Linked DNA regions of Canis lupus familiaris. The protein of the gene in region 3 interacts with the protein of the main gene of each other region in a biochemical or structural test. Links are inferred from orthologs where the notes say so. Each region holds a gene or a part of one and is shown on either strand. Other genes may lie near its edges. The genes, in order: RAB1A, USO1 and GOLGA2.

Region 1 (4,106 bases), on a different chromosome or scaffold from region 3:
TTATAATGTTTAATATGCCTAACATATATGTAGCTATAAATGCTAGGTATTAAGACAACATCATGGAATTATGAAAGGCACTCACCCACTAAAAGTTTTAATTTAAGAAAAAATACAAGGTTTTAAAGTTTAGAACAAGGTATTAAAAGTAAATGGACTTGTATTCAGTAATTAAACTAAGAATTTCTTTCCTTCTTTCTTCTATTTTCCACTAATTACTTTTTGATGGTAACAAACTTCATTAAAGACAAAAAAAAAAAAAAAACCTGCTGAAGTCACATTATTAAAAATCTGCCTGCTGGTTGCCCTTGTGACCTCCTCTAATAAAATACCCATCACCTCCTCTCACTAGTGCTCTTCCAAAGGTTTTTCCAAACTCCTATGTTACTAGTCTAGAATACAAATACAGTAGACCTGATACTGGCATATACTCGGTGGCAAAAAAGTATAATTTCTGGGTTTGATTCTGTTAACGTCATTAATTTAATGGATGTTTGGCACGGTATTTACTGAAGAATTACTATCACTGCCATTTATTAACCATTCTTCCTTCTTCCCCCTTGAAAAATCCTCCTCACTCCCTAGTGCTTCTCTAAATCTGTTAATAATTCTCTTAGGATTCTCTTTTCTATAAAATTTTCCTGAAACCAACTAGCCAACCACAATCCTTCACCCTCCTTTGAAATCTTGTTGCTCCTATCCATCCTGTAAATTTGGAACAAACTAGATCTACTGGTATTTGACATATATAACGGTTTTCTATACTCCATTATAAACTCCTTGAGGGTAAGGATTGTATTCCTAAATCCCAGCACTATTACGATGCCGTACATGGTAATGACATAACACCACCTAGAGTCCTCTTATGTTTTCTTTTACATGCACTTAAATCTCACAACTACCCTGATACGAATAATGACTCCTATTATCCTATTTTACAAAAGGGGAAACAAATTCAGAGGCTAATGTGTCATGGCTCTGTCCAACTAATCGTAAAGATCTACTTATGCTACTTGACATACTTAGCAAATATAAGAAACTCCCTGAACAGAGGAGGTTTACAAGTCTCCGTAAAGTGGTAGATCCATGTACTTTATTGTTGCCAGGAAAACCACCAGATTAGGTACCTCAAGTTCCATTCTCCCTAACTATGCAAAACCCACTTTGTCCTCGGAGCCCTTGATAAAGAAACTAAAAACTGCCGCCGTGGCCAAATGTGGCACCATGAGAACACCAGCCTCAACTTCTGCAAGAACATAAAATTTTAGTGAAATACCACGGCTTCTGTTTAGTGCAAAAGGGGACATTTCTGCTTCAAACCACTGTTATTACAAAACTTGGAAGTCAGAATGCATTTTGCAAGAGCCATGTGACACACACATGACAGTCAGCTAAACTGATGGGTGGACCTTTAGGGGAAATGTTTAGCAGTAAATGACCAAAGCTGCAAATACATTCACAGCTTTTAAAATACCAATTTTTTCCTTTAAAAAAAAAAAATTCCTCCCCCCCCCCCCAAGCCTTCTGACGCTGAAGGGGAATACCAATTAAATGTCTGCCAATTATTCGTTAATTTATATAGGTAAACCCAAGGAGGAATTTAAAGGGCCATGAAGGAGAACCCAACGAAGTCTTCCCAAGGAAGGTGAACACCAGTTCCCAGGAAAGGTGCCAGGTGTGTCACATATGCTGCGGGGACTTCTTGAGTGAGCAAGAAAAAGAAATGCATTAACTTTTCATGACACGTCATGGAACCTCACTCCCTATCTTCGAGTATTCAAGCAGGTAATCCAAAACCTACGGATTACATAGAGAGCCCCTTCGTTCTCTCTTTCAATTTGACAGCAGTCTTCCTTTAATCTGATAGTATCAGAAAAAAGAAAAGAAAAAAACGTTCCTACGTCTTAGTTCTCTTTATTCTTTTCCTCGACCTTACACAAGACCAAATGACTTCAGTGCCCTCTAAAAAAAAGAAAAAAAGGAAATCTCACAAATGCTTAGGTTTTTAGGGAGGCAATGGGCCCCGTCGTGACTTCTCGGAAAAAAAACAAAAACAAAAAAAACTCCAGGAAATAACCTAAACCCCCCCTCCACTAAAAATTTAAAATCTGTTCTCCCCTTCTACTCATTTCCCCGCTCCATCCCACGCAGTCCTGAAAAGCATCCGTGTTACCTGCAACCTGGCCGGGGAGGGGTGAAAGGACGGAGCCAACGAGCTCAAGATTTGCAAGTGGGGCTGGCTTCCCACCGCGACGGTTCTGACAGCTCGGCGGGCGCGGGCGCCGGCCCCGACAGGGCCCTCTAGGGCAGCCCTCCCACCCTAAAAACAAGTCTTCCTTCCAAAGTCACTGCCTGGGCGTGAAGCTACCCCTTCCCACCGCCCCACCCCCCCCTCCGAAGACTGTTCCTCCGCCCTGGCCCGGCATTCAAGGCCTCCAACCTGCCCGGGCGCCCCCCCGTCGGCCCCCCCGGCCCCCCTGACGCCCCCCCCCCCCGGGCCGATCCCTCTTCCGTCAGACAATGGGCCCCGGCTCCCGGCATCTCCGGCCCTACCACCGTCCGCCCGCCCTGGCCGAGGCCCCCGCCTCTGCCTCAGCCCTCCTCGCCTCCCCCCCTTAGGCTTTTCCGGGCTGCCCCACGGCCCCAGCCGACCGGTGCTCTCCTGCACTCACTATTCGGGATTCATGCTGGACATGTCACTGCAGCCGCCGCCGCCGCCACCGCCGCCCTTGCTGCCGCAGCCGCCGCCCCGACTCTCGACGCCACGGGTAATCGAGGGACGGGAACGAGAACGGGCTGTTCCGGGAGAGCAAACGTCTTCCCCTGCTCCGTCCCCTTAGAACACAATCAGCAGCCGCCGCCACTCAGCGATCGCTTCCACCCAAAATGGCCGCCGGCGAACCAGGAAATAGGAAAGCCTTAGACCGAGGGGTCTTTACACGGCCCGGAGGGCGGCCGCACCGCGCGGCACGCCGGGAAAGAGAGTTCCAACGCGGCGGCGGGCGCCGAAGGCCTACGGGGCGGCGCGGCCGCCGCGACTCAGCTTCCCGCCAAGCCCCGCGCCTCCGGCGCAGGCGCACTCGAGCGCTTGTCGCCCGCCCCATGCCCCACTCGCTCACCGCCCCCCCCCGTCTTGCCCCTCCCTGCTCCCCGCCCCGCTGACTCGCTGGCTTAGGACTTCGCTCGGACTCCCCCTAGCGGATTGGCTAAGCCCGAGCGGCCCCGGTGATGTCATCAGTGAGACGTGGCAGCAGGGCGCGTCGGCGCCCCAAGGGGGGAGGGGGAGGGGAGGGACGGAGGGCGGCGCCGGCCGCGGACAGAGGATGGGGCGGGGGCGGGGGCTGCGGGCGCTGCGGGGGGGGGGGGGGGGTGCAGCGGCGACCGCGGGGCGCTGGAGGGCGGGGCCGCGGGGGAAATGCGGGCTGCAGGTCGCGCCTGGCCAGTGCTTTGCTGAGAGCTCGAGCTCCCAGCTGGTCCCAGGACGGAGGAGGAATTGAGGGGCCCCTACTGGGAACCTCGGGGGTCCGGAGAGCGCGGAGCTCGGTGGTGTTCCCCAGCCGGCCGGCCCCGCTGGGTCAGGTCCCCGTGCAGGGCCACGGTCCCGCGCTGGCCGCACACGGTGCCGTCTCCTTGGTCGCATTGCCCCCCGGCTCCCCGTGCAGCCCGGCTCCGACCACCCGGCCCGGCGACGACGGGAGCCTCGGCCTCCTCTCTGCCCCCGCCGCTGGCCGACGCAGCCGGATTATCTCCCCGAAACCGCGCTGCATCCCGAGCCCACCACCGTTTTGCGGGGGCCGCGCCTCTCCGTGGCCGCGGTGCAGCCCAGAGTCGGCCCGAAATTCAGGGTCTTCCCGCCCTGGTCCCAGGCTTCAAGCCGAACTGTAATTTTAGCTACTCAAGGCGGAGCTGCTCTGCAAGACTGAAGAATGATAAGCGAGGGGAAGGTGCAACTAACGCATCGCTGCACGGTGCCTAGAGACTCCGGGAACGGCATTCACAACATTTCTGAGACCCGATTGATAGTCGTAACTCTTCTTTTAATCAGCTCAGGAATTTAAACCTCCAGTAAACTTTAACACATTATCTTGGGTTGTCTAACTGCAGAG
Region 2 (4,203 bases), on a different chromosome or scaffold from region 3:
TGGAACAAGATGGTGAAACATTTTATCCATACTGCAACTTGGAATAAACTATTAATTCTCTTCATAAGACAAATTACTTTTCCAATTTTGAGTATACTCCTCAAAGTAAGAACAAGGATCCTCACTTTCCTTTCACTTTACACAAACAACATACACGAGTGATAATCAAGCTTCATTTTGAAATCACAATGTAGGGATGCCTGGGTGGCTCAGCAGTTAAGCCTCTGCCTTCAGCTCAGGGTGAGATCCCGGGTCCCGGCCTCTCTCTGTGTCTCAAATAAATAAATAAATAAATAATAAAATAAAATAAATAAAATAAAAGATTTTATTTTTATTTATTCATGTCAGACACACACAGAGAGAGGCAGAGAGACACAGGCAGAGGGAGAAGCAGGCTCCATGCAGGGAGCCAGACGTGGGACTCGATCCCAGGTCCCCAGGATCAGGCCCTGGGCTGAAGGGGCACTAAACCGCTGAGCCACGGGGGCTGCCCTAAAAATAAAATCTTAAGAAAAAAGAGAAATCACAATGTAAAATTTATGTTGTTTCACTCACTATGGCAAGATCAGTATTCTAGTCTCAGCTCTGTAATACTGTGCAAGTCGCTTCAGTGCTTTGTGCCTTAGTTTCCTAACGTAAAACGAGGTGGGGGGGGGGTTCAACCTGGATGATCTGCAAAGGACCTTCCAGCTTTAAAATCCTATATTCAATTATATACCATCTTTTCTACAGAAGTCGTTGTGACAAGGCCAACTATTAAAAAAAAAAAAAAGAAAAAGATAGTCTTCCTCTAAAATCATGTATTACATTTTTTTTTTTATTAAAAACTACCCTTTACTGAGCACATACTAAGTGCCAGGCTCTACTTCTTATTTCACTTAATCCTTATTTACACCCATAAAAGCAAGTGGTTCCCTTACTTTACTCACAGGGTATTATCCATCTCTTGCCAGGTCCAATCAAATTAGAGGTGGAAGACAAGGATTCAAATTAAAGCCTAAATCCAAAGCGAGCTCTAATATACTATACTTGATGCATCAAACGGAAAATATCAGAAATAAAATAAATGAACAAAAGCTGAAGAGGTGGGCTGTGACTCTGGTGATCTGGAGAGAGCAACAGTCTTATAACAAGGCAGCTCGGGTGCCTTGTAGCCATGTGGAAGCAGACGAAAGAAGCCAAATATCAGTCGTGTATGTCTGTGTGTGTGTGTGTGTGGACATGGACATGAAATCTCCCAATTTTCAAATAAAGGAAGAGAGATTCATCAGCTTTCAACTTCTGCTGTAAACAGTTCTAATTCAGATCTGTGAGGTTGATTTTGATACTTGTAATTTTCCAAAATTCCCGGGTAAGTATTAAAATATGAGCATCAGCAAGAAGACCTAGGCTAAGAAGGGAAACCATATTTGAATCCTGGCTTTGCTACTACTAGTAGCGTGACATTGGTCAAGTCACTTCACCTCTCTAAACCACATTTCTTCATTTGTAAAGTGAAGATACTACCATCTATCTGGCAGGGTGGTTAGATTAATGGAGAATGTGCACTATAAAGAACTCAGCATAGTACCTACTTCAAGATAAGAGCTTGACAAATGAAAGCTATTATTATCTTTCAAAATCCCAGTAACACAGAACGTAGGATCTATGTTCACAGACATCCCAATTATGTCTATGACTACTCCCCAAAGTTTACCTTTAAAATGTCATGCTTGGTCACTTTCCTGTATATCTGAAATCATTCTCAATTAGCTTATTTTTAAAATGTCACATGCACTCATTTCTAATAGAAACTAACCGAACTTCAAAATAAATTTATCTTAAACCTAAACGCTGAACCAACTATCAAATACTGTTTTCCGTGGCGAACAGGTTTTTAACGTGACGCTGCAAATCGTGTTACCGAGGAAGGGTTCAGACTTCTGAATCGGGTGAGTAGAAGGGAAAGTTAGGGATGAGTCCCAAAGCAGTTTGAGCGCGAAACAGACCTCCAAGTCCAAGCGAGTATAGCTGGGGGAGCCCGAAAAACGAGGCCTGAACTGGTGACACCTGGCAGAACGATTTTCCTCCAGTTGAAGGGACGGGAGCAGGTGGCTTCGTGCCCCCAAACTATCATTTCATTCTTAGCCACATGCTTTCGTCAACAGCTGGGTTTTAACCCTTCTTGCCACCTTCCCCCATGACCCACTGCAGGCTGCGACGGAGGGAGTAGGACCTTAGGTTCCTCTCGGCCTCTGGAGACAGGCGGAAGGGGGCAAAGGCCCGCGCGGCCCCGAGGGGCGGAGACAGGTCGAGCCACCTGCGCCCAGGGTCGAGCCCTTCCCGGGCGGGCCCCCCCACCCCCACCCCCACCCTGTAGAGCTTCGGGGCGCGGCCGCGGCCACCCGGGCCGAAACGCCGCGCAGGGGGCTGTGCTGGGGGCGTCAGGAGTGGCGCGGGGGTCCCAGGAGAGAAAGGGAGGCAAAGGGAGAGGCGGGCGCGTGGACTCCCGGCCCGTGGTGGGGCACGGAGGTCACCTCCCGGGCCCCGAGTCGTCCGAACCCTTCCCCAGTCCCGGGCCCATCGCGCTCCTCTCACCGTCTCGGCCTCTGTGTGCTGGGGCCCGGCGCTCTGACCGCCCATTACACCGCGGAGGAAATTCATCTTTCGCTCAGCCACCGGCTCCGCAGGCCCCGCCGGGAAAGAAACGGCGACTTTCCCTGCCCTCGGCAGGGCCCGGCCCCTACGCCCGCTCCCCGCACTCGCCGGCGCGGCCACCAACGCCTCCCACCCAGGGGCCGCTCCAGCCTCCTAAGCCCGGAAACAGCCGCCGCCGCCAGTCTAAGTGCGCGTGCGCGGGGACGTGGCATTACGTGGCGGCCCGACGGGCGCAGGCCAAAGGGGGACGGAGGCGACGGGGGGCCCGCAGCGCGTATCCAAGCCCGCCCACTGCGCATGCCCCGCCTCCCTGGGCGGACACGCCCCCTGCCCCGCCCCCCGCCGGTCGGTCCCGCCGGCCCCGCCGCCCACGCGGTCCAAGCGCGGCCCCGCAGCCGTGGGGGATCCGGGTGGCGGGTCCTGGCTTGCGGGGAGCTTGGCTGTCGCCGAAGGGGCCTCGCCGCCAGCTGTCGAATCTGGGGTCCTACTCTGTTGGGTCGACAGCGGAATTGTCCTTCGGCCGACGTTACAGGTAAGGGGCCCGGCCCTGGGAGGGCTCGTTGGGCCTTGCGGTCCCGCGATGCGAGCCTTAGGGCCTTCTGAGCCTCGTAAATCGCATTTCTTTACCGGGCTTTGTTTAGCGGTAAAAAAGGGTGCTAGAGCCCCCTCATTCCGTTGCCACCGGAGGGCGCATTTTCCAGTCCTTGCTCTCCAGACCTGTTACAAAAGGGATTCCTGGATCTGAACACCAGGTACTCCGCTGTTCTCCAATGGTGCGAAGTTGAAACCGATCGAGCCCTGCGCTTAGTTTATGAGAGAAAACGCATTGATCTGTAGTGTCATTTTGGCAGCTAATTACGTAATATTTCGTTATTACTTCTCAACCCCTGCATTTTCAGTGTTTTTTTTTTTTAAACATGAAAAATGTCTTTTTTTTTTTTTTCCAAAATGGTATGCCCTGCCCCTTTGGAAATGAGATTGCCCAGGTGGCTACACCTGCTTCTGGAGTAGCCTTGTAAATGTCTTGAGCGCAGGGTCGAGTTAGCCTACTGATCCATACACCTCTTCACTTGGATCCCCTACAGGTCCCGAATTCAGCATTTAAAATTGAACTCATCATCTTCCCCAGCCTACATTAAAGGGGGGAAATAAAAAAGAGAAATCACTATGCTTCTTTGTGCCTTACCAGTCTCAACAGTACCACTAGCCAAATAATTGCCTAAACTAGAAGGAGGACACTGGGGGGAATCTTATGTTCTGGATTTCTCACCCACCTGTCCAGTATTCAAGCTCTTTAATTTCTATTTATAGAATATTTCTCAAACAGGTCCTATGCTCTTCATCCTTGCTGCCTTTGACATAGTTTATGTTCTCATAATTTTTCACCAAGATTATAGCAGTAGCTTCCTAACTAGTTTGTCTGCATTCAAGCCCTGGCTTCTGTCCAGTCCAGCCTCCAGTCCAGTCACCCTTGGATGAGCCTAACAATGACAAAACATCTGTCCATGTAGGTACTCTTCTTAAAATCTTCCCGTGGTTGTCCATCTGCTCCATAATAAAATCTAG
Region 3 (3,556 bases):
CATCTCTTGACCTCGTTAGGGGCCTGAGCTCTCTAGCCAGGACGAGGACCTTCAGCCCAGGGATACCCACTCTGTAGAGTCAGACAGCTGGGAGTGACAAGGGGCCTGCACCACAGGCAGGATTGGAAGGACTCTGGAGTCAGGTGTCCCCCCACAGGCTGGAGCTGCACCATCCTGGGCAACCTCCCACCCTCCGAGCAGGTAGGTTTGTCCTCCAGGCTTCCTCAGCTGGTGTGGGGGGTAAGTTACCATCTCCTTTAGCTCTCCCAGCTTCTCCTGCAGCTGGCCCAGCTTCTTGGCCAGCTCCTTCTTGACATGCTGCTCCGACTGCAGTGCGGTAGTAATCTCCATGTTCTCGTTGGACTGGAGAGAGAAGAGGAGTCAGTGGCCACCCCAGAACATGGAGTCTACCTCCCACAGTGCAGGGAAGAGTGGAGGCAGGTGTCCTCACCACCTCTGCCCCACTCATCTCAGCAGGGCTCTCCGGCTCACAGGGTGCCTTCAAGGGCACCATTTTCACATTGGGTGCATACACCCTTCCCCCATTTTACACGTGGGGAGACAAAGGCCTAGAGGGGTTAACTGTCTTGCCCAGCACCAAAAGACTTGGCTAGGAGGAGAAGGGCTACACACCAGCTTGACGAAGCCGTTCTGCAGCTCAACCAGCTGCTCCTTGAGCTCGCGGTTCTGGGAGAGCGCACGGCTGATGGTGGTGCGATCGCTCTGCATGCTCTCCAGAATCTGCTTGCGTTCCTCTGCCTGCTCCCCCCAGCACTCGGCTGCCCGCTCCAGCTCCAGCAGCCGCTGCTCCTGCTCCCGGTTCAGGCGACTCAAACCTTCGTTGTCTTTCACTTGGGCCTGCACCTGCTCGGCCAGGCTCTCCAGCTCCTTCTGTAGTTGTTCAGTCTCGGCGTGCAGCCGCTGCTGCTCCTCCTCCAAGGGCCTGGCTGGGGGCTCCTGGGCTGGGGGCACCACTGTGGGGAGCAGGGGGAGGGGGACACACGCTAGGGGCCTCTCACCTCTGTGCCTTCAAAAAAGCCCTCTTCTTGATCCACAGCTCCTAACTGGGCCTCCTCGCCCCAAACCTTGGCTTCCTGGCTCACAATCCCTCACCCTCAGGGGATATGCACTCTTTCAAGACACTTTTGAAAAGAGTTTTTAATATTTTTATGCTCAGGACAATTCGGAGTGGTTGCCAGCGGGCACACTGCCCAACCTGGCCAACTCCTAGTACGGACCTCTTTCCCTGGGCCACAGTCCCCTTCCATCCACCCACATCCTTAGGGCATTTGAAGGCATCCTCACCAGCCCTCTGGCACCAATCCTGCTCCCAGATCCTCCTGCCTCAGCTTACCTATCTGGTTCTTCAGTTCAGCCAAGTTGGCCTCCAACTCCTGCACCTGACTCATGCTGTGCTCCTTCTCTTCCCTCAATCTGTGCATCTGCCCAAATCACAGGGGGGATGGGTACATGGGTGGGGGGAAGTAAGACCATTGCCCTCTCTATTCCCACCTATAAAAATTGCACAGCCACCTCTGGCTGCATACCAAGTGATAGGATTCCCCTTTTACTGATGTCCAGAAAGATCAAGCAGCCTAAGGTGGGGGCGCTGAAGGTCACATCTCACCTGTTCAGACATCTGCTGCATCTTCTGCTGCCAAATGGCATTCTCCTCCTTCAGAGTCTCTGCATACTGGTCTCTCTCCAGCTGCAGTTGCTTTAGTAAATCTCTCAGCTACAAAAAGGGGCACAGATGTTAGCAGGGGCTGCTGCTGGGCCTAACCAGCTTCTAAGCACCTAGGGCCATCCTTCCACACCCCCTGCTCTCTGCAAGGCCTCACCTCCCCGACGTGGGCCTCCAGCTGTGTCCGCTCTTCCAGGGCCTGGTGTAACTCCTGGCTGCTGTCAGGGCTTTTGGATTGACTAGAAAACTGGAGAATGGAAAAGGAGAAGGTTAGATGTGGGGAGCCCAGGCTGTTGCAGTAATGCACCCCACCCCAAAAGGATCTGAGCTGGGATAACGTACAATTTGGCATTGATACAGATCTCTACCTTTACATTACGTTAGTATTGGGTCCACAGGCTTTCTGTTAACTAAATACTCATTGTAAGTGCTCCTCTAGCTCCCAGTCCTGCCAACCTGGTGTGTATTCTCTTCCAGGTTCTTTACTGGCTATAGTGAGGGTGGCTACAAACTGGCCCTGGTCCCAGAAATGGGGTGGTCAGGTCCCAGAGTGCGGGTGTCCATTAACTTCAGAGCAACCTCAAGCCCTCACTTCCTCTCTCTACCAGGCTATTTGTTAGACTACCCAGCCTAGGAACAGGCGGAGGCCATGTTCAGTCAACACCTGCTGAATGGATGGGGAGATGGTGAGGGAGATGGGTAGAGAGCCCTACCTGCTGCCCAGGACAGACCAAATTTGGAGACTCATGTTTCACTCTGGGGGGATTGACCAGAAGAGGAGCCTTAACCAATTGGTCCCATGCAGGAAAAAAAGCCGTCAGGAGGGTGACAGACCATGTGAGAAACAGCTGGGGCTGTGGAGCTTGGGAAAACCTGAGGGAGGGCCAAGGAATCTACAAACACACCCCCTCCGAGTATCTAAAGGTCTCAGGAAAGAGATGAAATTTTTCCTGTGTTGATTGGGAGGGAAGAACCCCACTGAAGGAAGTGACCTGAAGGCAGATTATCGCTGTGTGAATAAACACTGATGGAGGGGAGCTCTTTGGCCCAGGTACCCTGATGACCTGGTGGCCCCACCTCCAAGAGGAAGCAGATGGGGACTCATGGGCTAGCCTTGTGACTGTCAACTGTAGAACAATGGTTTGCAACCAAGATGCTTTAAAAAACAAAAATTTAAAAAGCCCCATCCCTGAGATTCTGAGTCCACATTGCTGCACAGGGCTCCAATTTGTAGATTTTGATCAACATCTGCAGCAGGATTCTATAGCAGGGCCAGAACAAGGACCCAAATATTCCAGCTTCTGGCTAACGGCTGGCCATCACAATCCCGGGAGACCACGGCCCCAGACAGATGGGACCCAGACTCCCTGGGGCTTCGGCCTCACCTGCTGCAGCAGGAGCTCCGACATCTCCAGCTTCTTTTGCAGCTCCTCCATCCCGAGCTGCATGGCTGCCTTCTCTCTCACCATCACCTGAAGCTTCTCTTCCAGTTCTGAGTTCTGCTGCTTCAGGTCCTCATTGTTTTTGCTATGGCCAGAGAGAGCAAAGGTAGGTATGAGTACAGAACAGAAAGGAGTACTCTGGTGATCAACCCACCACACTTGCCACGGGGCCACAGAACGGTCGGAAGGGGCCCCCGGGGAACATGAAGCCCAACGAGCAGGCCAGAGAGAAGACCCGCGAGGCCCAAGGCCACAGCCTGTGCTGGCGGCACAGCTGGGCCTGGAGTCCAGCTCTGTGCGTGTTCTAAGCCGTATGCGGTGCCCCCCTTCCCCTGTAGCCCTCCCACTTGCCAGCCCCGCTGTCCTACTTGTTCTTATATAACTCCAGCTTGAGGGTGTCTCGCTCTTTGGTTAAGTCCTTGTTGTGCTG

What was found.
Region 1: the proteins of GOLGA2 (region 3) and RAB1A form a complex in vitro, tested with the Homo sapiens proteins (2 studies listed by BioGRID). The link is inferred for Canis lupus familiaris from reciprocal best matches to the Homo sapiens genes GOLGA2 and RAB1A.
Region 2: the proteins of GOLGA2 (region 3) and USO1 form a complex in vitro, tested with the Homo sapiens proteins (2 studies listed by BioGRID). The link is inferred for Canis lupus familiaris from reciprocal best matches to the Homo sapiens genes GOLGA2 and USO1.

The regions. Positions count from the first base shown.
Region 1 is NC_049231.1:65,878,013-65,882,118, forward strand, and holds the start of RAB1A (ras-related protein Rab-1A), read right to left. Parts: upstream 2,845-4,106; 5' UTR 2,696-2,844; coding exon 2,673-2,695; intron 1-2,672. UniProt on the Homo sapiens protein: The small GTPases Rab are key regulators of intracellular membrane trafficking, from the formation of transport vesicles to their fusion with membranes.
Region 2 is NC_049253.1:39,884,670-39,888,872, forward strand, and holds the start of USO1 (general vesicular transport factor p115), read right to left. Parts: upstream 2,826-4,203; 5' UTR 2,644-2,825; coding exon 2,578-2,643; intron 1-2,577. UniProt on the Homo sapiens protein: General vesicular transport factor required for intercisternal transport in the Golgi stack; it is required for transcytotic fusion and/or subsequent binding of the vesicles to the target membrane.
Region 3 is NC_049230.1:55,332,882-55,336,437, reverse strand, and holds part of GOLGA2 (golgin subfamily A member 2), read right to left. Parts: intron 3,554-3,556; coding exon 3,495-3,553; intron 3,233-3,494; exon of another isoform or gene 3,212-3,232; coding exon 3,070-3,211; exon of another isoform or gene 1,932-3,069; coding exon 1,842-1,931; exon of another isoform or gene 1,736-1,841; coding exon 1,628-1,735; exon of another isoform or gene 1,443-1,627; coding exon 1,355-1,442; exon of another isoform or gene 992-1,354; intron 975-991; coding exon 634-974; intron 364-633; coding exon 250-363; intron 1-249. UniProt on the Homo sapiens protein: Peripheral membrane component of the cis-Golgi stack that acts as a membrane skeleton that maintains the structure of the Golgi apparatus, and as a vesicle thether that facilitates vesicle fusion to the Golgi membrane.